Linked DNA regions of Lepisosteus oculatus. The protein of the gene in region 2 interacts with the protein of the main gene of each other region in a biochemical or structural test. Links are inferred from orthologs where the notes say so. Each region holds a gene or a part of one and is shown on either strand. Other genes may lie near its edges.

What was found.
Region 1: the proteins of peli1b (region 2) and ube2v1 form a complex in vitro, tested with the Homo sapiens proteins (3 studies listed by BioGRID). The link is inferred for Lepisosteus oculatus from reciprocal best matches to the Homo sapiens genes PELI1 and UBE2V1.

What each region holds. Positions count from the first base shown.
Region 1 is NC_090711.1:12,183,980-12,194,112, forward strand, and holds the start of ube2v1 (ubiquitin-conjugating enzyme E2 variant 1), read left to right. Parts: upstream 1-4,250; 5' UTR 4,251-4,268; coding exon 4,269-4,350; intron 4,351-6,773; coding exon 6,774-6,922; intron 6,923-7,931; coding exon 7,932-8,057; intron 8,058-9,543; coding exon 9,544-9,690; 3' UTR 9,691-10,133. UniProt on the Homo sapiens protein: Has no ubiquitin ligase activity on its own. The UBE2V1-UBE2N heterodimer catalyzes the synthesis of non-canonical poly-ubiquitin chains that are linked through Lys-63.
Region 2 is NC_090712.1:9,279,337-9,289,469, forward strand, and holds the start of peli1b (E3 ubiquitin-protein ligase pellino homolog 1b), read left to right. Parts: upstream 1-4,579; 5' UTR 4,580-4,918; intron 4,919-4,954; exon of another isoform or gene 4,955-5,238; intron 5,239-10,133. UniProt on the Homo sapiens protein: E3 ubiquitin ligase catalyzing the covalent attachment of ubiquitin moieties onto substrate proteins. Involved in the TLR and IL-1 signaling pathways via interaction with the complex containing IRAK kinases and TRAF6.

The DNA of each region.
Region 1 (10,133 bases), on a different chromosome or scaffold from region 2:
AAATTGAAAGGGTCTTTAGGTTAAAAGTAGATGTTCAATCACATATGGGATATTTAAGTATTTCTGCCTTGCAGGAAAAAGAAGATTAATCTGAATGTCCGATAGCAAATGAGAAATGAAAAGGAAAAAAGTGACTGTTGTCAAAACTGCAGACTTGGATCGCTTAGCAGGCTACCCAAAGTGCAAGATAACCATTTCTTTATCTTCATTTGATATATTTACTTAAAATGCACTTTTAAATCTAGTTGGAGCCAGCTCTCTTCAGAGCTTACAGGTTTGAGCTGGCGTAGTTAATGGAAGTTATAGATACTTCTCACTAAAATAGTATGCTGTGTAAATCCTCAAAATTCTTACAACTCTAACCTGGCTTCTCTGTAGAAACCTTTTTGCTAACAGCTGTGCCGTTTCTAGAACTCACACAAAATAGGCACAGGTTACAAGAAGACGGGTGATACTGTAGAACTAACATTAAAGCATAAAGCAAATGTTATCTTTAAGTTATGCCTGCTGTAACGTACAGTAGTGCTTTCTTTTTCAGAATTCTTTCTCTGAATGAAAAGCACATAATATCTTCTGTTGAAGATGGTTTGGGTGCTTCTCATTGAAATGAAAATGACATTGTCTGGGATTGAGTGTGCCTGGTAGTTGTGTTGGAAACAGTCCCTTGCAATGTGGTTGATTGGCAAGACCACAGTTTTGACAATGTTTAGTATTATATGAGCGAGTTGCATAATGCATGAGAGAGGAACTGGACTGAATGAGGAGTTGATATTTAAGAGCAGTGCTAGTTGCCAATGGATGCCCATAATGTTAAGCAGCTACTGCTAAGATGGTGCAGCTGAGAAATTTGGATTCTCAAAAAATGTTTCATGTTTGGGGGGGGAAGTCAAAATATCAAAGCAAAAGATTTCAAATTCAAAAGTGGCGAACATTGCGGTTTAGTTAAAAAGGTAATAGTCTCTCTCCCAGAGCGCCTTGTTTCTGTACATGTGCAGGCCATGAAGAAAAGGGGCAACATCCTTGATTTCTCAGTGGAAATCCGGTAGACTTGTGGCTGTTATTGTGCCTTGATGGGCACAAGCTTGCGGTTTCTTTTGTGTCATCCTGAGCTGTTGGTCATGGCTGAGGATAATGGTTATTATTTTGTATTTGCAAAGACGGCAGTGGTAGGAGATGCAAAATGTGTCCATGGACACAACGAAATAGCTGTAGAATGCGTAGGTATTTCAAAGAGTCAAGGACATCATCTGACTCTTTGGTGGTTCCGCAGACTAGTTGTTTGAACTTGAAGGGAACCTTTTCACTTTGGGAGCGTATCAGTTGTGTTTTTCATGTGCCTCTAGTACTTTGCCATTCTGCTTACAGGTGGCAAGACCAGGTGTTGAGGTCATGCTGACATTATTGGAAAGTCGGTAAAGAACGTGCCCGAGGTTGATGGGAACAGGAAGAAGCTGTGTCCTCAGGCCAAATCACAGCCTTTCTGTTGGAGATTTCTTTTTCCCCCCGTTTGAGTTCTTACCTCGCAGACCTTGACATTTTTCAGCTGATATATCAGACAACCACCCTTTCCTGGAGGCTGTTTCTGCAGACAGTATGATGGACTAATACAGTACTTCGGAATAGGTGGAATAGCTTATTTCCCACTGGCAACTATACCTAGAAAATAACAGTTGAAAAGAACAACATGAACTTGTCTTAGTAATTAAATCATCCAGTCTCATTATTATCCTTTAAAGCCCAAGAGGATGTAGTTTTTCATTTCTTAAAATCTCCTCCTAAGAATAATTTTGGAGTAGGGGACTACATTAGTTATTTGTTAAGATGGTATTTATCATGTATGTATTGCTGTGTTCCGGATGAAGTCATTTGAATTTAGAGCCATTATGAGCCTTTGCAGGAACGACTCCATGTTGCTCATTTAATATAAAGCATTGCCAAGGATCATGGGAAGAATTCTCAATGGTGTGGTTTTATCTGTCTGAAGTAGCTCTGTGGTGGTTAACCTTTGTAAATATCAGAGAACTAATGCCTTAACGCCTCTGTTTTCTTCCCTTGAGGAAAAAATGTGTAATGTTAAAAGTGTACATACTATATTTATAATGGAAAAAAAATAAATAACTGTGTACTACTTGGCTTTGTTTTTTGTTTCTCTCCACTGGAGGATGACCGGTTCAAGGCTTGTTTTCTACAGCTGGAAAGAGGTCTTTATGACCGGTACATTTTTGCACAAAAACATTTATCCTGCAAACTGTGTTTTTGTGTGTGTGTGTGTGTGAGAGAGAGAGTGAAACACCACCTGCTTGGAATCACTTTTAACAAAACATTTTTATCCGATTAATATTAATTTCTGCTGCACATTCATTAATTATATTTGCACAGCAGCATGCATGACTACTGACATCCTGTATTTGAAAAAAAAATATCTGCCAATTTATTATAAAATATATTTATCACGGTATACCTAGCCTAGAATAGAATGGAATTCTAAATTTATTGGAAACCTGGTCATCCTGGCAAGCAGTGGTGAAAATGTTTACTTACGCAGTAAACATGCTGGAGCAGTCGCTGAGACTTGTAAGTGGAAGCTTGTGAATTAAAATCCCAGCTGAGACACTGCTCAGATTGCATTGCTTGGCTATATAAATGGGTGGAGATGTGCATTGATTTAGATAAGTGTCGGTGAAATTAATCGTGATCATGATTTTTAATTGCCACCTGGGACCATTCTATCTGAAGGGCTTTCTCTTGCCTTGTGCCCCTATTTGAATCTTCGATCTAGAGCTAAAACTCTTCTCAGCTAGCAGGGGCAATCAGGCCCGGCCTAACAGTTCTGGAGCCCCTTACCCACAGGAGCGAGGCTGACTGACTTAAAGAGGCCAGGCAAAGTGAAAGGGCATGACAATACCTACTGAAGATTCCCAACCCTCCTTTACACGGAGGAGAGGGACGCACTTCATCCACACTCACGTGGCTGAGCCAAGGCGGCCATTGTGTGCCAGAGAGCCCAGGACACAGCAGATGAGCTGGAGCAGTGAGAAATGAGCAATTCCAGTACAGTAAGGGGGACGATCCGGATGTTACAAACACAAAGTAGAACGTGAGCCAAAATATTAGCGTTAACACCACTACCCTTGACAAAGCTCTTCTATGGATCTTTTCTGACTGAGTCATCAGGACCTTGGCCCAACGCTTCAGTTGAAAGACGGCACCTCCAGCGACGACGGTTTGGGAATACTGGTCCACAGGGAAGTGTGCGATCTGCTTCGTCTTGGAGGCGTCCCATCCCAGACTGGTACAGGCCCCGCCTGGCACAGTTTCGGCGAGCTGACGACACCAGCAAGGTGTTCAGGTGCGTAAAGACGAATTCCTAATGCAAGAAATTGTATAGGGCTAATAAAGCAACATTACATTACATTACATTAGGTAGTCTTGTTCTCAGAAGCGTCACTTCTGTCTGCGTTGGGCAAAAAAGTTCTAGGCAAGTTCATCAAAAAAGTGGGATGTTTTGCTGGACTGATTTTTTTTTTTACCCTGCTTGTTCTGCAGAAGCAGCAGACTTCATCTCTTAATGGTATTGAATAGTATTTGTGCCCATTTCACAAACGCCATCTGTGAATTTACCTTGGGTTTGCTTATGGCAGTTTACAGCTAACTCATTTTCGGTGTAATGCTTTTTTTAAAAAAAAACTTATCACGAGCCCTGCAGACACAGCACCCACTATTAAAAAACGTTATTTGTAACGCTATCTTTTGCTGATAACTTGATGCTCACGATTGTTGTGTTAAAATCGTTTAACTTATTGAGGATGCCCTTAATGTACTTAATTTTCCAATATCTTTATTTCATATCCATCCATGCATTGTTAGAAAAGCCGCTTAATTTGATAATTTAATAACAGCGTGTTGCATTTATGGATTTTCTTACTTTTTGCAAGCGTGCAATATGCTGTTGCATATCAGACACATGCATTATTTATTTTGTTTCCTGTAAGGGAACTTCCTCTTTTAGTAAAAAGAAGCAGACGCAGCAAAGTAATGCACATTAACACGGCACTTGTTTTAGATTTCTGCTTCATTGCGGGTCTCTGGTTTCTACGCTACACTGATTTAACACATGTCCTCTCGGCGCTTTTAAACGAGAAGCTGAAGTCCAGCAGTTCATCGCCGCGTCTAGAATCCACCTGCTACACGGATAATGCGGCGCTTTGCGGCGGCGGCGTCTTCTGCATTCTGTGCGCGTTCACCGAGCCTTCGCGCGTGCACAAGCGATGAATTTTCCCGGCCACCGGCGCATGGCAGCGTGCGCGTTCCCGACAGGCAACGACAATATGGCGGCGGCCGCCGGATCGGGTAAGTTAGTCTTGCTATCAGATAAATACATTTTGAAACGCGACCTAAGGTGTTCGATCAAAGAGGAAAAGGCGCGTTGAGAATGTCGGGTGCCTTTATCTCCAGTTTGTATGTTAATAATAAAGGTGATACTGGAAAAAACAAACAAACTAATGAGCATATCTCCATCATTTAGCGGAGCCGGCCAGCAATGTGGAAGCAGACTGGCGATCGAGCTTTTTTAATGAAACGCTGTGTCTGCAGTAGCAGCTGAAAACTGCAACATCATTCAACAGATACGTGGGATACGTAAAAAATACTGGAAAATGTAACCTAACAGAAATTTAGTTATCAACCTGTAAGTGCTCCGAGGCGTGTCATTCTCAAACATGGTTTAAAACGAGAGTTACGGAGACCCATAACAGGTTTAGCTGGTTGACACAGCATAAAATGGTAGCTGTCTCTTCGCATTTGGCAAGATAAGTGCCGGATGTTATCTGTGTGTTTAATCAAGTATTTAAAAAACAAAGCAAAGATCAGCTTATTCCAGTTCGCTATGTCGCCGGCAGGGCTAAACCTGTTTCCTGTAAAATACACATATGAATGTATACAACAGCATGAAATGAAGTCCTGTTTTAGGAGAATGTCGTAGAATCGAAATCGACCATTGATGTTCTGCAGGTATAGATGATGCCACCAACTCGTACGGAAAGTGCTGTAGACCTGGCGATTTGAACTATTCATGTGTAAAAAAGCAAAACCACTTAAATCTCATTTACCCTTGTTTGTTTCTCTGCAGCATCTCGATGTTTTCTCAGTGGCATATCCATATTACCCCTTTGTAAATTAGACTTTTTAAATATTTCATCCACACATATATTTTCTGTAAGAATGGAAATATGGCACTTACAGTCTGTCACACTCCTGCTGGGTTTGTCAGTCCACTTGTGCAATGCTGCAGAGTGATGTTTCTTACTGTCAGTAGGATGTTGTGTCAGGCAGCTGTGCTCAGTGTGTTGTGTCAGGCACATTTTCAGTGTGGATGGAAGATTAGAAATAGCAGGTGTAAATCACTTGTCACTTGAATTACCTGATTGTATGTATCCTTAATCGCCTTGGAATTGTACCCCATAACACATCTATCTGGGTTCAAACTCCTTCATCTAATTCAAGGACATGGGGAAGCTGGAGCCTGTCTCGGCAAGCAACCAGGGTGCTTCCTGGACGGGACACCAGTCCATCACAGTGCACACAGACACAGACACAGATACAGACACCACACGCTCACACCAGGACCAGTGTTCCCAGAAGCTTATTAACCTACAGTTTTTCCTACAGTCTTTGGACTGTGGGAGTAAATTGGAGCACCCGTAGCAAACCCAAGCAAACCAAAGGAGAACATACAAACTCCACACAGACAGCACTCAAACTCAAAACAAAAGGACCCTCAACACGAGCCCAGGCTAAGTGCTGAGGGTTGTACAGCTTCATTTAGCAGTGAGTCAGAGCATACAATTTGAGTTTTAGCCGAGGCAAGACCATTTTGGGCAAATCTGAGTTCAGGATCTTCACTCAGTGTTGAGTCTGATAAGATATCGCATTGAGAGTCATGGCTTACTTATGACGACACTAGCTTGTGCTTAAGGCAGTGGTTCCTGACCGCAGTGCTCCCTTGCACAGCGGTGTATCATAGTGAAACATGTCACATCCTTCACTTTCAGCCTCCTACACTACGTACTGCATCATAGGCTTGTACTGGTTGCCTTGCGATATAGTAAACTGGGATTACCCGGGCTCTCTCCAGGCTTTGTTGTGGATGTGCATTTTCTAAAAACCAGGCATACATGGTTACCATCCATGTGAATTCCTGCAAGTCTTAGAAATCTGGAAAAATCACATGACTAAAATGAAATCTGAAACTTACCTGATATTCTGATTGCTGTTAACCTAACAATTTCCTGTGCAGTTGCTTTTCAAGAATAACCGAGCAAGCACGTGACATGACTTCCTAATCCTACTACCTACTATCCTAATCTCTTTTCCAAAACAAACAAAGTTTTGCAAAAATTGTGCTTCTAGGTGTGGTTTGGATACAGCCTAATGTTTGTTAATTGTAGGAGGGGTGAGTCCCGCAAATATATTATTCAAAGGAACACTTTAAGGTTAATTCCATGCTGAAAAGAGAAGATGAGAAACATCTGAAGAAGGCTCCACAGCCGAAATGTTGTGTCTTCTCTTTTCAGCATGGAATAAACCTTTACTTGTTCCATTGCAGTCTACGCATACTGACGCAGCTCCGTACTTGATCTGGATTATTCATACTGGAACACCTCAGACTGGGGGAAAAGGCTGGACACCTCTGGCCTGAGGACTCCTGTGCTGTAGGGCTGGGAGGGTCTGTGCTCCGGTGTGATTCTGCAGCAAAGTCTCTTCTCTGTCTACAGGCGTGAAGGTTCCTCGTAACTTCCGGCTGCTGGAGGAGTTGGAGGAAGGGCAGAAGGGCGTGGGGGATGGGACAGTGAGCTGGGGGCTGGAGGACGACGAAGACATGACCCTGACGCGCTGGAGGGGGATGATCATCGGGCCGCCCAGGGTGAGGAGGACTGTAGATCTGCTACAGGCCGCCATGGGCTTTGGAGTGACCACAGGTCACATTCAGCATCCTCTTCTTCCATATATATATCTCATTATCATCCACCCTTTTCAGTTAACTCCTGGGTGAAGGTGTCCGCTCCACAGATCACTCTAGCTCATCGCACTTGTGTCACTCCCACAGACGTCTTCATTTCAGCTTCCTCCTCTCACAAGGACATAGCCTGCGTTCAGGTTTAGGAAGTGTAAAGAGGACAGAGCCACAGGGCGGAGGCGAAGAGAAATGTAGCTCCACCTCCAACTAGCTCCACCTGTGCACAGCCTTTCCTATAAAAGCCATACGGAAGAACAGGGAAGTGTCCGGTTAGACCCTCACGATTTGTTTCCAGAGTGAGTCAGGGTGAGATTTCACACATATCTTAAAGAAAACTAGACTGGGGTAAAAATAGCTGACAGGCTTCGGCAGGGTGTGGGTTTTCCTCAATTACTAATGGGGAAAGCAGGGACCTAGGTGAGCGTTTTTAGGGACCTGCATTACGGTGGAAAGATTAAAGGACATTGGTGTGTTCCGGGAACCATCTAGGCTCCTCGATAGGGAGAGTTTATGTTCAGATTTGTCTTACCACACTACCAGTCAAGGGCAGGATCTGTTACCACATCCTGTGGATCCTTTCTTTTGCGATCCAGTTCAGAATTTCCTCACTAAACAGGATCCCTTCATGTCTGTACAAAGTGGTTCTTACTATTAATTTGGATGCCACTTTATCTGAAGAGGCTTAAAACCCATATTGGAGCACTCATCGACTGGGATTAGCTTTTCCCAATCTTTCGGCCATGAGTCAGGAACCCGAGCTAATATCATGCCCTGTCGCTTGTCTGTATGACACTCAGACATTGATTTGAAAGTCCCAGATGTTCCCATAACCATCAGGCACCTGAGTTTAGCTGCCTTGAGGAAAGAGAGGGACATTTGAACCCCCCAAACCCATACGCCTTGCATGTCATTGCAGACAATCTACGAGAACAGGATGTACAGCCTAAAAGTGGAATGTGGGCCCAGATACCCCGAGACACCTCCCTTTGTCAGATTTGTGACCAAGATTAATCTGAACGGTGTGCACAACTCCAGTGGTGTGGTGAGTAACCCCTTGAATGAATAACTAGAAGGTTTCATGATTGTATTTCATCCAAAATGACTTTTGTGAAAGAAGCCTTCATCTCATTTTTTTCAGTTTATTTAAAAAGGAAGATAAAAGGGGGTAGATTGGATTTCTAGATATACATTGTATGTCTTTATGAAGGTTTAATGACTCGGGGAAATCAGTGTTTCTTGAGGAAGATCAGTACAAATCATGAAGCAAAGGGAAGCAGGGATTTTTTCTCTAGATACAAGTAGGGCTGGGCGATATGGCCAAAAACATTATCACGATAAAAATTTTCATATCAGTCGATACCGATAATTATCCCGGTAAATGTCAAATCATTATTTCATTCAAGTTTAAAGGCAGATTTTTTCTCCTGAGTGAAATTTGAAGAAACCAGACAGTTAATTGGTAAATTAAACAACTCTTTATTTTAAGAACACAACAAACACTTGCCAAACAGCAGAAACATTAAACAAATCTGTTAGCTGCCCGGTCTGCAACGTGCACGCGCACTCACGCAGTATTTTGTGTGCATGCGCATATCACGCGCAAAGCATAAACATATATATCGAACATTTATCGAACTTTTGTTAAAATTATATCGAGGAAAATTATATCACGATAATGATCATTATCGAATTATCGCCCAGCTCTAGATACAAGGAAAGAAAAATGATCCATCCTCTATTGAGTTGCTTTCCCTGCTTTGTGTATTTGCAGGAATACACCTGTATGTATTTTTGCTTTGCAACATGGCCTGTCACCATCCAGAACACTGATAATCACAGTAGACCTGGAGAACAAAGGTTTTCACTAGATCAAGAAACAAAAATTGGAAATGACTCAATTTAATATTTTGCTTCACTTGTTAGCAGCACATTTAGAAAACCAAACCTCAGATGGATTTTTCTAACTGTTTAGCCAAGAGATATTCACAAGCCTCTTGCTTTCAGTGTAATAGGGCTGCTTCTCCTCACCGGACGTTTTGTTGCCTCATTCTGAATTGCACTGCGCATATTAGGAAATTGCATTTATTTGGAGATGTAAATTGGTAGTTTTGCACATTACTGTGTACATTTTAGTGTCAGTGTACCACTAAATGTGGTTTGAAATGCACTCATTTTTGTGTGGTTTGAAATGCTGATTCTTCCTAAATCCGAAAGATAAAAATAGCATTGCAGTTCCCCTTTAAATAAACCCTGGCACAATTAAGTCAGATCATTATTTCGTTGGAGTCCACGTGTACAATGAATGTGTTTCAACTGATTGCAAAATAAATGCCCCAGTCTTTGAGAGGTCCCACAGTTTTGTTAGTGCAGTTCTAAGGGGGGTGAGTACTCTTTACACACACTGCATCTGCTAAGCACCAAATGGGTTCGATAGGCAGAACGGCCTGCTCTTGTTCGTGCCTGCTCTTTTTGCCGGCCTGGCCAGAGCGCGTCTCAGGCGTCCTCATGGTTCTCTGCTCATCCCTCAGGTGGACACACGGGCCGTGTCTGCCTTGGCCAAGTGGCAGAACTCCTACAGCATCCGAGTGGTCCTGCAGGAGCTGCGGAGGCTCATGATGTGCAAGGAGAACATGAAGCTGCCCCAGCCGCCCGAGGGCCAGGTCTACAGCAACTGATCGCCGGCTTCCTGGCGTTTCCCGCTCCGCCGGCCCGCTCCCCCTCCCCTGCCTCCCTGCTCCCCCCTGGCAACTGGCCGCGACGCCTACCCCTCTCTCTGACTCTGAAGGACACCCCTCTCCTCCCCAGAGCTCTCGCTGGAAAGAGGGACACATGCCTGCCATCAACAATCAGACTCCACAGCACAGCCCCTTCAAATACTGTACATCTTACTAATCTTTTTTTTTTTAATTCTATGTTTATTATAATTATTATTTGTTATAAATGCAGGTTGTAAAATAACATAAATCTTGTTACTGTGTGTCATATCGCGTGTCTGCTGTATTTGTCCTCAGAATGCCACAATCTGTTCCTGTCACGCTGGTTTACTGCCAGTGAAGGCAACGGAGGTACAGCTGGGTCAGGTGGGGGTTACGGTATTTTGCGCACCAAGTAATTTGAA
Region 2 (10,133 bases):
TTTGTAATATACAAGTCCTTCTGCCCTTTCTAAATACTCTCCAGACACCAGTGACTCTTGGTATGATTAGAATTCAGAGGGTCGCGATTTTCTCCTGGATCTTTTCTGCGAATTCACTTTCTCAGAATGGCAGTGCCCAACAAATTGCAGTGGAGAAAGGGAAGTGATCATGCCACAAATGACAGTGCTGGCCTGCTTAATTACATATGAAATGTTTAGAAATACTCTGTGTCTCATTTGCCAAAGTCTCCCGACAGATATCTTGAGGTAATTGCTGAGCCAAATGACTTTGTCGTTTAATGGCAGGAATTCCAATCCTTGTTCCCAGTGTCACTTTTTTCAAATTCATTATTTGTCTATTCAAATCTAAATACGCGAAATAGGTTCAGAAAGCCACGGAGTTTCTTATCTGAAAATGAAAGACACAGGACGAACAGAGAGAAGCAAGTTTTTAATTCCCAAAAGTGTACGCTGCGGAACATGCTTTGCCTTTAATTTTTTCCAGCTGTATGTTCAGCAAAAAAAAATGTTAGTACAAATAAGGAGTGAAGGCCGGCACTGGACACATATAAAACGGTATGGGAAACAGATATTCTCTGACACAACACAAGTGTATGCCTATGGAATTCAGCCAATAGTTCTTTGTTCCTTGCAAGTTTGTGATATTTAAAACATTCTGTAAACATATCTGTGTACTTGGATACTGTCTCCATGACAGCCTGACAACAGCAGACGGCTGACTTCCAAACACTGCAGTAGGGAAATTTAATATTTGGTTTAGCACTAGTACTAAATTTTTATTATGTAATCCCATGGCACGAAATCACAAGCAGGCTTAACGGCATCCTCAGTCAGACATTATATTCTTACCAAAGTTAGGCATTATGCAACACAAGAATCTGTACAGGAGTACTGTTGCTATGTTGGGGTTTTTTACTGCAACAACATAAAGACTCCCTGTTTTAGATTTCATCACAAGGTGCTTGCATGAGTGTTGTACTGCTAGGCATGATGAGCAGGACTTGAACTGGTCACGTTCTCGCTCAAATCTGAACATCTGAAACAATCAATATTCTCCTATGAGGAAATGTGCTTACTACTGTGATCTAAACATATACAATGGAGTTTCTAGCAATCCTTATCCATTACAGTTGCAATCCTTAGTCTTGAGTTTAGAGAAAGGAAATATCCTGACCTATGGATTTTCTCAGTAGAAAATCTGGAAGTATGAAGTAAAACGTTGTACTAAACCAAGAAACATTTTAAACTTCTCAAAATAAAAATCTACACGTAAAGCTAGAAATCCAAACAAGTATAAAATTAGCTATCACAGACACAATATTTACATTCAATCACTCAAAGTCTAATTTCATAAATCTCTTCTCAGTGAAATTGCTGGACATGAAAAAAAGAGTTCAAATGCGATATACTGTACGAAAAACAACTGTAGAAAATACTGTAATGGTAATGCTGTTTGCTCTGTTTATTGCTCTTTAATAATTCTGAGATAAGGGCCCTCTTGCAGTTCCAAAGGAATTGCCTTAGACTTCTTTAGAATTACTTTATCGGAAGCTAAAAATGTTGTATTACCAGCCCCTGGAACTCAGAACTCTTTGACTGAAATCTTACACAATAACAGATATAGTTCACTTGTCTTTCAGTTCTGATGATTTGCATGTCAGCAAGGTCAATAAGGCAAAGCAACAGGGTTAGAAAAGTCACATGATTGAAGAATTACAAGTTTTCATACCTAGGTGCAGAAGCAGTTTATCATTTCTCGACAATGCCCCATCCAATATATCCAGTACAGAAAGATGCAATAGGGTGCACCTTTGTCTTTTCAATTTTTTATTTTATTTTTTAATATTTTTTATAGTGACACTAATAAAAAAACATTCTTTACTAGCCAGTGATTAGCAAGCATGATGCACATGCATAACGGTTTTGTTTTGTTTTTTGCAATTTTAGAGATAGTTAAAGGATGGAAAAATGTGAAAATGTCTCTCAGTAGGAAAAAAATAAGAATTATGTTACGGTATAATATTCTGTTTATCACTATTGAGACATATTTAAATGAATAACTCTCTTTGCTGTTTGTCATGTATTGCACAATTCGGCTTTTCCAAATGTAAATCATTACAATCGCTCAACAGTGTGACTTCCACCTTGATCAGGGAGCAAGTGTCTGAGTTAATGATCTGAGGCTGATGGCTGAATATCTGAATTGAAAGAGCGTGAGGGAAATAGCAAACAGTTGAGTGGACAGCTATAATTTAATGCACACGTAAAGCGGTCATAAAGCACAGATCTGGAAAGGGCATGGAGGAGTCAAGGAACTGGTTTGCAGAATAATAAAAACCCCAGATGTTTCCTTCAACTGCTCCTGACACGCATTTCAGAAAGCGCTCATGGTGTTTCAGGGATGCAAATATATAAAAATAAAAAAGCACATTCAAGGAGTGGAGTTACATTTCATTTTATACTGTATTTTGTTCAACATACTACATTATTGCATATGTTAAACAATAATGCGTTACCATGAAAAATAGATGTGAAATCAAATGTGGGCCTATTAGATGATTTTCTGAGATCAGTAACAGGACTTGATTCATATCCCACCACTCAATGATGTCCTCACAGTGAAGAAAATGTAAGTTTTTTTTTCCTCTGGAACAAATGTGTTTAAAACAAGCCTTAATGTGAAGAGGCTGTTAGCAGTATTCTTCCTGTTTTGGGGGGGCCCAGGTTGGGAGTAGGGGTGTCTGCTTCATTTGCAGCCAGTTATCGGGCTCACAAAGGTCAAGGCAAGGTCAGACTTCCTCTCCCTCATTCCACCGGAGAGGAAAAGGGCCGGCACCGAACACACGTTCAAGGTATCTAATAAATTCAGCCCAATCGATTCTCCATTTGCAGGCGTTCGTGCTGGTCCTGCCCTCCTCTGTCCCAGTCTCCTGTCACTGCTCACCAGGCAGTGGGAGTGGAGTGGTAGGTGAGCGTGGTGACTAAATGTTTTCAAGGATGCAAGAGCCACCCTCCATGACAGCATCAGTTAAAAAAAGCATGAATTTGCACCTTTTTTTTCTGAGCGCTTGCTATTTTTGTATAAGAAGGTGTTGATATCAGCACATATCAGCAAAACTACATCTGCCTTCTGAATTATCTTTTTTTTTTACAACTACTCTGTGTTACATTCTTTTCATCAACATCCGCCTGGCTTATTAGCTGATAGGCTGGTTTTCTAACTGCAAAACACTAAAGAACTGGAAACGTCTGTATTTTTTGATAGCCTTGACCACAGAGCTTTTTTTTTAAAGAATGTTCCCATCTTAAGAACTGTGATAGTGCTGTCTTCCTTTTAAGGTTAGGTAAACTGGACACTGTATCACCATACGCATATTTCGAAAGCCCCAGAGAATTAAAAAGCAGTGTAACAAGGGTCACAGACGTCATCTTGTAATAGCTGACAGAAAATGTCAAAGCCATCTCATTTTGCTATTAAAGCCTCAAATGAACATCTTGCTCTTGGCAAAAAAAAGTGCAGCAATTTTACTGCAACCTGTGCATGTATTTTGATTTAATTGATAGAACAAATTATGGATTATAATGTGCAACTGTGCTCTTATCAATAATACATTTCTTTCATTTTGATGTATTCTGTAAAAGCTGGTGTGGAATTTAGTCTTCCCAAAACGCTAGTATGAGAGAGATTTAGTACAAATTGGTGTTTGTCACTTCATAGCTTTGTTGATGATGAACGACCCTGGCTGTAAGAGTTGGGCGTTACCCATGTGTCCTGGTTAAATTCTACTCTGGTTTAGCACAATATAGCTCCCCATTCATTCAACTGATGAAGTAAATTCCTGCCTCTCCACCCGATCTGCTGTTTCTTGTCGCCCAGGTGGGGGCTGCATTTCAGTGGTGGGTGAAGTGGGACCCCTCCTATATGTAATAAACCATCACGTAATATCCTTCAGGACAAAAAGCACAATACAAATGCCAGAAATTATTATTTTTATTAAATAAATAAATTAAAGGTGCATACAGTTTTTCCCAATATTTTTTATACGTTGCAATATTTTTTTAAATATATCAAATTATATTGCAATATTCTGCAATAAAAAGACATCTCAACAGGCAATGTATGTGTACTTTGTTATGGATGTAATACATATGCTTTACATAAATATTTCTGTAAAGACAACAACATGCAAAGATAATTTTTAAATGTGTATTACATATCTATAAACAGAAATTAACATAATATGCATATATTAGTACGTAATAAGATATTAAAATTAACTTAATAATCTCACAGCTTCGAAATAAAATGTATACTTACTATTAATCTGAAAAACACAGAGAAATTTCCAAACTCTTCACAGGGAACGATAATGAAATCGATGCCCCTATCTTAATTCTGTGCTCCTCTCCAGGCACGCGGTCGTAAAAGTGACCTAACCAGCTGATTTCGCTTCCCGTCGAGAAGCATCATGGGTAGTGTAGTCCAATTGGCTGACTTCCTGAATTGTTTCCATGTCCCGACGAGAGAAAGCAGGTACGACTACAATTTCCACAATCCATAGCGAAGAAAATCAGTGACGCGGCAGGTATTTGTGACTCTGACCTAAAGGGGCCAGACACTGCTTATGATGGTCAGATCCGATTACCCGCACTAAGATCGTGTAATCGATCCATTATTTAAGAGCGAAAAAGAAAGAGCAGAGAGGAAAAAGACGCGCTTATAAGTTCAATGCGCCCGTTTTCGTTCCCAGCCAGCCGCGGATCTGCGCTCACTTGCCTTTGTCACAGCAAGTTGGGACGGAGTGCTTGATTGTTTTCGCCCGCTACGCACAGACTCACAGAGAAGAAGCCAGCGAGCTGTCGAGGAGCGACGAGGGAGTCACGACGCACCGCCGCTGTAAGTCCGAGAGCAAGAGCAGCAGCAGCACGAAAGCGACTCTTTCCTTTTGTCCTTCCTGCTTCTCCTGGCACCGAGCGCCGGGCAGCCCGCTGTTAGGAGCTGCTGCTCCAGCAGTGACAGGACCGAGCGGGTCTGCGCTGTCAGTCCGCAACCCTGCCGACGGGACCGAGGCGCTTCGCCCGTCCGGCACTGGTTTCTTTTGATGCAGGGCTCCCTTGAACGCGGTCCTCACTGCTGCCCAAAGCCCGGTGACGGTTGCGTGATGTTTCCCGTAGCTCGACGGGGCTGTCCGCCTGCGAGGCGTTAAGCTGCAGAAGGTGATTTTGTTTCTTCTGCCGTACACACAGGCGAAGGGTGAAAAAAAAACCCAAATCGCCCGTGTGTGCACTTTTCCAACATTTCCCAGTTCCCGTGCGCGGTGTGATCACGGGTGAATCGTTCACAGACCGAAGAGCGTTTTGATTTGTTTGTCTTGGCGCTTTGATTTCCATATTATTTATTTCCTTTGGCAAATGAACAGAGTCGATTAGCTTGTGGTTCACGTTGGCATTATTTACGGGGAGTGAACCATGACCGCACACTCTTCCAAGGGGAGAGAGGGGGTTTCTTAGTCCTGTACGTTGTAACGGTTCCTATTGTGGAGAGCGAACCGGTCTGTTTTTACTAGTATTTGGCTTGAAACGCTTGTACCCCCCCCTTAGAAACGAGATCTGGGAAGCGCTTATATTGCTTAATTGCTGAAAAGACACATTACACCGTGCTATTGTGTACAGCTAACTTTTTTTCTTTGTGCTCTTGCCCAAGAAGGGCAGGGTGACAGCGCAATTGTCACGTTCAGCATTCGGCACTGTAACCGAGCTTCGTTTCCGACCAGCGTTTTTTTTTTTTTGCTGTGGGTGAGCACGTCATTTGACGAAATTAGCGATTGTAAACGCTTGCTGTTAAATCTCGACGAACTGGGCGATTGTCAAGTTGTTGGGGTTTTTTTTTATTTTATTTTATTTCGTTCGCTCAGCTCGGCGCTGTCTCACGGCACATAGGCGCGATGCTATTGTTCCCCGAAAGGATAAACTGATTTGCATCCATCCCGGCTGGGCATCTGTGGATGTTCTTTTGTTCCGTGCCGATCGCATTTTGCCCCCCTCGCAGCAGAAGTCAGGGATCGCGGATTTCGAGTGTCTGTTCACCGCTCCTACCCAAACCTTTGATCTGGAATTATTATGCACCTTAAAGAGTCTTGAATTTTTATCTTAATCGTCAGCGCGTTGAAACTTTATTTGTTCAACAGGGGGGGGGGACCCCCACAAGGTCAGTTCATAAGGAAGCAATGGTAGTTCTTTTTTTTCTGGTCACCCCCTTACTGGAGTTGAGTGAAATCTTCGCCAGGCTGCTCTTTTGTTTGTATTTTGTGTTTGGCAGGTTATTAATAGCTGCGGTGGCACACTGGTGTTTCCATGCCAGAAATGGTCACTGGTGTTCTCTTTTATTCAGTCGCACGGGAAGACCTGAACCCCAAATAGGCCTGGATACAGCTTATGGTTTGGAAAAAAAAGTTCCCTGGGATCATTTTTCAGTGGCGACAGTTTATTCGTGTCCATTTGTTCGCAGAAGGAGGGTGTGTTAGATGGCCGATTAGGGATCCACACAAGTGGACGCCGGTGGGGTGTTGGCCAGGAGGGAGTTGCACGAGGGTATCAGGTTGTCGCAGTTGAAGCGTCGCCATCAGATTGCTGAGGGCAGACTTGAAATCGCCAACTAATAATACTTCCTGGGACTGCGGTGTCAAGATTTAGAGCGCTTAAGCCGTGTGTTAGATTGAGAGGCGCCTCAAAGTAGGGCGTCGCGTGACTGGCGGGAGAACCTGGGAGTCCTGGAGCGGCCGAGAGAGAGAGAGATAGAGGGGTTCAGGGGTGCAGAAGGGGTTCCTGCAGGCCCCATCTCCGCTCGTCCAGATGGCCACGTGCTGTCAGCTGTGCCGAAAGGAGACGCGTTGCACGCGGGCACTCGCGAGGAGAGGAGGTTGTAGGGCAGAGCAGTGCCTAAGGGGACACATGGAGGTGGGTTTCCTTGTTCCCCACGGTCTGGCCTGAGCAGGACTGCAGTGACAATGAAGCGAAAGCTCAGGGCAGTTGTTATACCAGCAGGGGCAGTGGCTGTGCTGTAAGGACAGAGAAGTCACTGGGTCTGGGCTGCCGTCTCGTGTGTGTCTGTGTGTGTCTGTGTGTGTCTGTGTGTGTCTGTGTCACTCAGTCTGCCCTAAGCGAAGAAGTTCACCAGATACTTCCAGGAAGAGATCACCCCTGTACGCTGCCTCTCGCACAGGGGTTCTGAAGAGCCGTACTTTAGTGCAGTGGCTCTGCCACGAGTTTGCTGCCAAAGCAGATAGCCTCGCAGAACCAATGCTCGTGTCAAAAAGCATGAGGACAGAAGCAGTGGCATTAGCTCATTAGCTAGGGTTCCGTCTCTCCCATGTGCTGCATGCAGGTTTGCTAATCGGACACGATCTGTATCAGCTGTTACACAAGCTCTGGCAGTTTGGATACATTTCAAATAGTTTCTATAGTGCATCCCTTTTTTAAACAAATACACATTCCAGGTAATAGGTACGTGCCTACAGTTGCATAACCATAATGGGCATTGCTTTAAACACCTGGCGGTTCATAGTTTTTCCTTAGCTGTGTAAAAAGCAAGTACAGTGTATAGAATTAAATGCATAGACAACGTAGTGATCATTGTTAAAGAGTCCTGCATGTGATCATATTGGATATTGGATCTCACTGAAATGTCTAGCGAGGGTAGACTCAATTTCATTTTTCCCCTATGTGTTGTAGATATGAATGTGTAGGTTTAGAGTTTAAAAAAACAAGTATGTTGCAGATGTGTGCCTGCAGGCTACTGATTAGTCTGAGGATAATGTAAGGGCAGATCACATTTAGTTTTGCCAAGGGTTGGAGAAACTTAATATCTGTATGCCTGGACCACAGGGGATAGAAATTCTTCTGTAGAGTAAAATCTGAAGTTTTTGTGTCTTGCAGCCAAGTGCGTAGGAAGAGAAAACATAAACCTAGAACGATTCCTCTTGCTTATCCAGTCGGGTCGGAAAGCTGGTTCTGAATGAGTACGCTTGTCGTGTCTCTGATCTTGCCTGCTGCCCATGCGCTGGTGCTGCTGGTGTGCTGCGGACGACTGTCCAGTTTGTTAACTGGCTGTGCTCGAGGACCTTGAGGCACATCGGGGTGGCTGCCTCACAGCTCTTGTCTTTGGGGCATCCTGTTCTTCGTGTAACCCATCTCTCCTGAGTTGGGATGTGGCTTGCTGTGACCCCATATGGATCTAAGTGTTTTAATGAAAACGGGTGGACGTAAGTCAATCCTGATATTCCATTTACTGGCCTTTTGTACCCGTTGCATATCCTGGTTCTCTAATTCCGAAATTTGACTTGGGTAATGTGCTAGTTTCCCCTTCCAGCAAGAACAGGTTCTAAAACGTCTCCTCTGTGCACTATCTGATATCAACGTCACTTGTGAATGTCGTTCAGCCACAGTGGTGAAGCAGCATCACTGCTTCATCTTTTTGATTTTTTTAAAAAATAAACTTAAGGTAGGTTCATCAGTCAGGATTGAAGGAAGAAGCCCACACATCTGGGTTTCCCTAGCAGAGGGGCTCTGTTCCCTGGATGCTGATTCACAAAGGAGTTTTATTACCACGCTCTGTGATGTCACTGCCCTCCCTCCCCCTTCTTTCACAAAACCCCTCCAGGATGCACTCCAACGTCAGGTTTGGGAATTTTATGATGACGTATTTCCTGCGTAATCTGTGGGATGTTGTCTTGCCTGCTTTACAGTAAAAATATGCTTTCTGGAGCTGTGAGTTAACCCCAGGGGCAGTACACAAAGACACAGGCAGAACGGGACACATTGCTGACATGGTCTGTACAAATTGGCCTACCTTCTCAGACTAGTTTTATGTTTTGTTTTTAGAGAACTCTTTAATGCAGAGTTTCTCTTGTCCACTGTGTGTTTTTCATTAAGAAACCAATGTCTTCTGGCCCCGTTCCTAGACTGTCATCTCCACAGTATCTGAAGAAATCAAGTTGCTTTGTTTTTCCAGAGCATCAGAAAAACACTCCCTCCACAAGTACTTCTGGTCATGTCTTTTATTCCGAATGGAATTCCTGGTAATTTTGTTTTCTGTGAGAAGATATGGAGTCAATTATCCAACCACAGGAGCATCACAATTCACCCTGCAGCCCTGCACATCTCTATGATGTACTTTTAGTTAAAGCGAAGCCTTCATTGCACTATATGTGTGTGGCTGAAGCCATCAAAGGACGGAAAGCCTATGTCTTGTTCTGTGTTTGCCTCTGTTACTCCTCTTAGACCTCTTTATGAAAAAGACAGCTTAACATAATTCTTTGCAAGTGCATGTGCTGTCATTTTTTTCTCGTATCCCTGGTGTGCAGTGCTTTGTACAAGCCTTCGACACCAGAACTGGGAAATACGGTCAAGTTTGTGAGGAACACGCTTGCTTGTGAAAAGTAGGTCAGACTGCGAGTTTGTTAGCACTCACTGCAGTTTTCAGCGGAAAAAATGTCACTTCTTTCATAAAAGGTAGTTTCTGTTTCTTTTATCGCAGAACTTGCTTCCATGCACACAGAATCGTTCAAATGTACTCACCTGGAAGTAAGAGGCTGTATGGGATCCATAAGTAAATTAAACAGCTGCCTGAATAGTTTGTTTTTTAACATTAAAATATTCTAAAGTTGTGCCCTTCACTGAGAAAAACTGCAGTATTTGGATGCTCAGCAGTCTAGCTTGCACCCTTAGTATGTCAGTAAATTTGTTTATATTTATTAAATATTGAGCTTAATTGTTGCAAAGAAAAGGCTATTTGGAGTGGAAATTCCAACAACGCTAAGTCTGTCCTGAATTTAAGTTTTAAGATTTTTCTTCTATGCTGAATGAGGTATCTGCTCACATCCTGCATTTATATTCAGCTAGTTATACTCTGCAATTTTTGTTGGGCTTCTTTTTTATGAACAGGACCAGTTGTGTCAAAACTTGCCTGTTCATTGTCTGTTCTACTCTGCGTCATGTGTTTCCAGTTGTCAGCGGAACATTTTTCCGGGATTAGGAAACCCATAAAATCTTTGCATTCCTAGGAAGCATGTTTTCCTTATCCCTTGTTCAAGGTGGAAGCAGAAGCAGTCAAG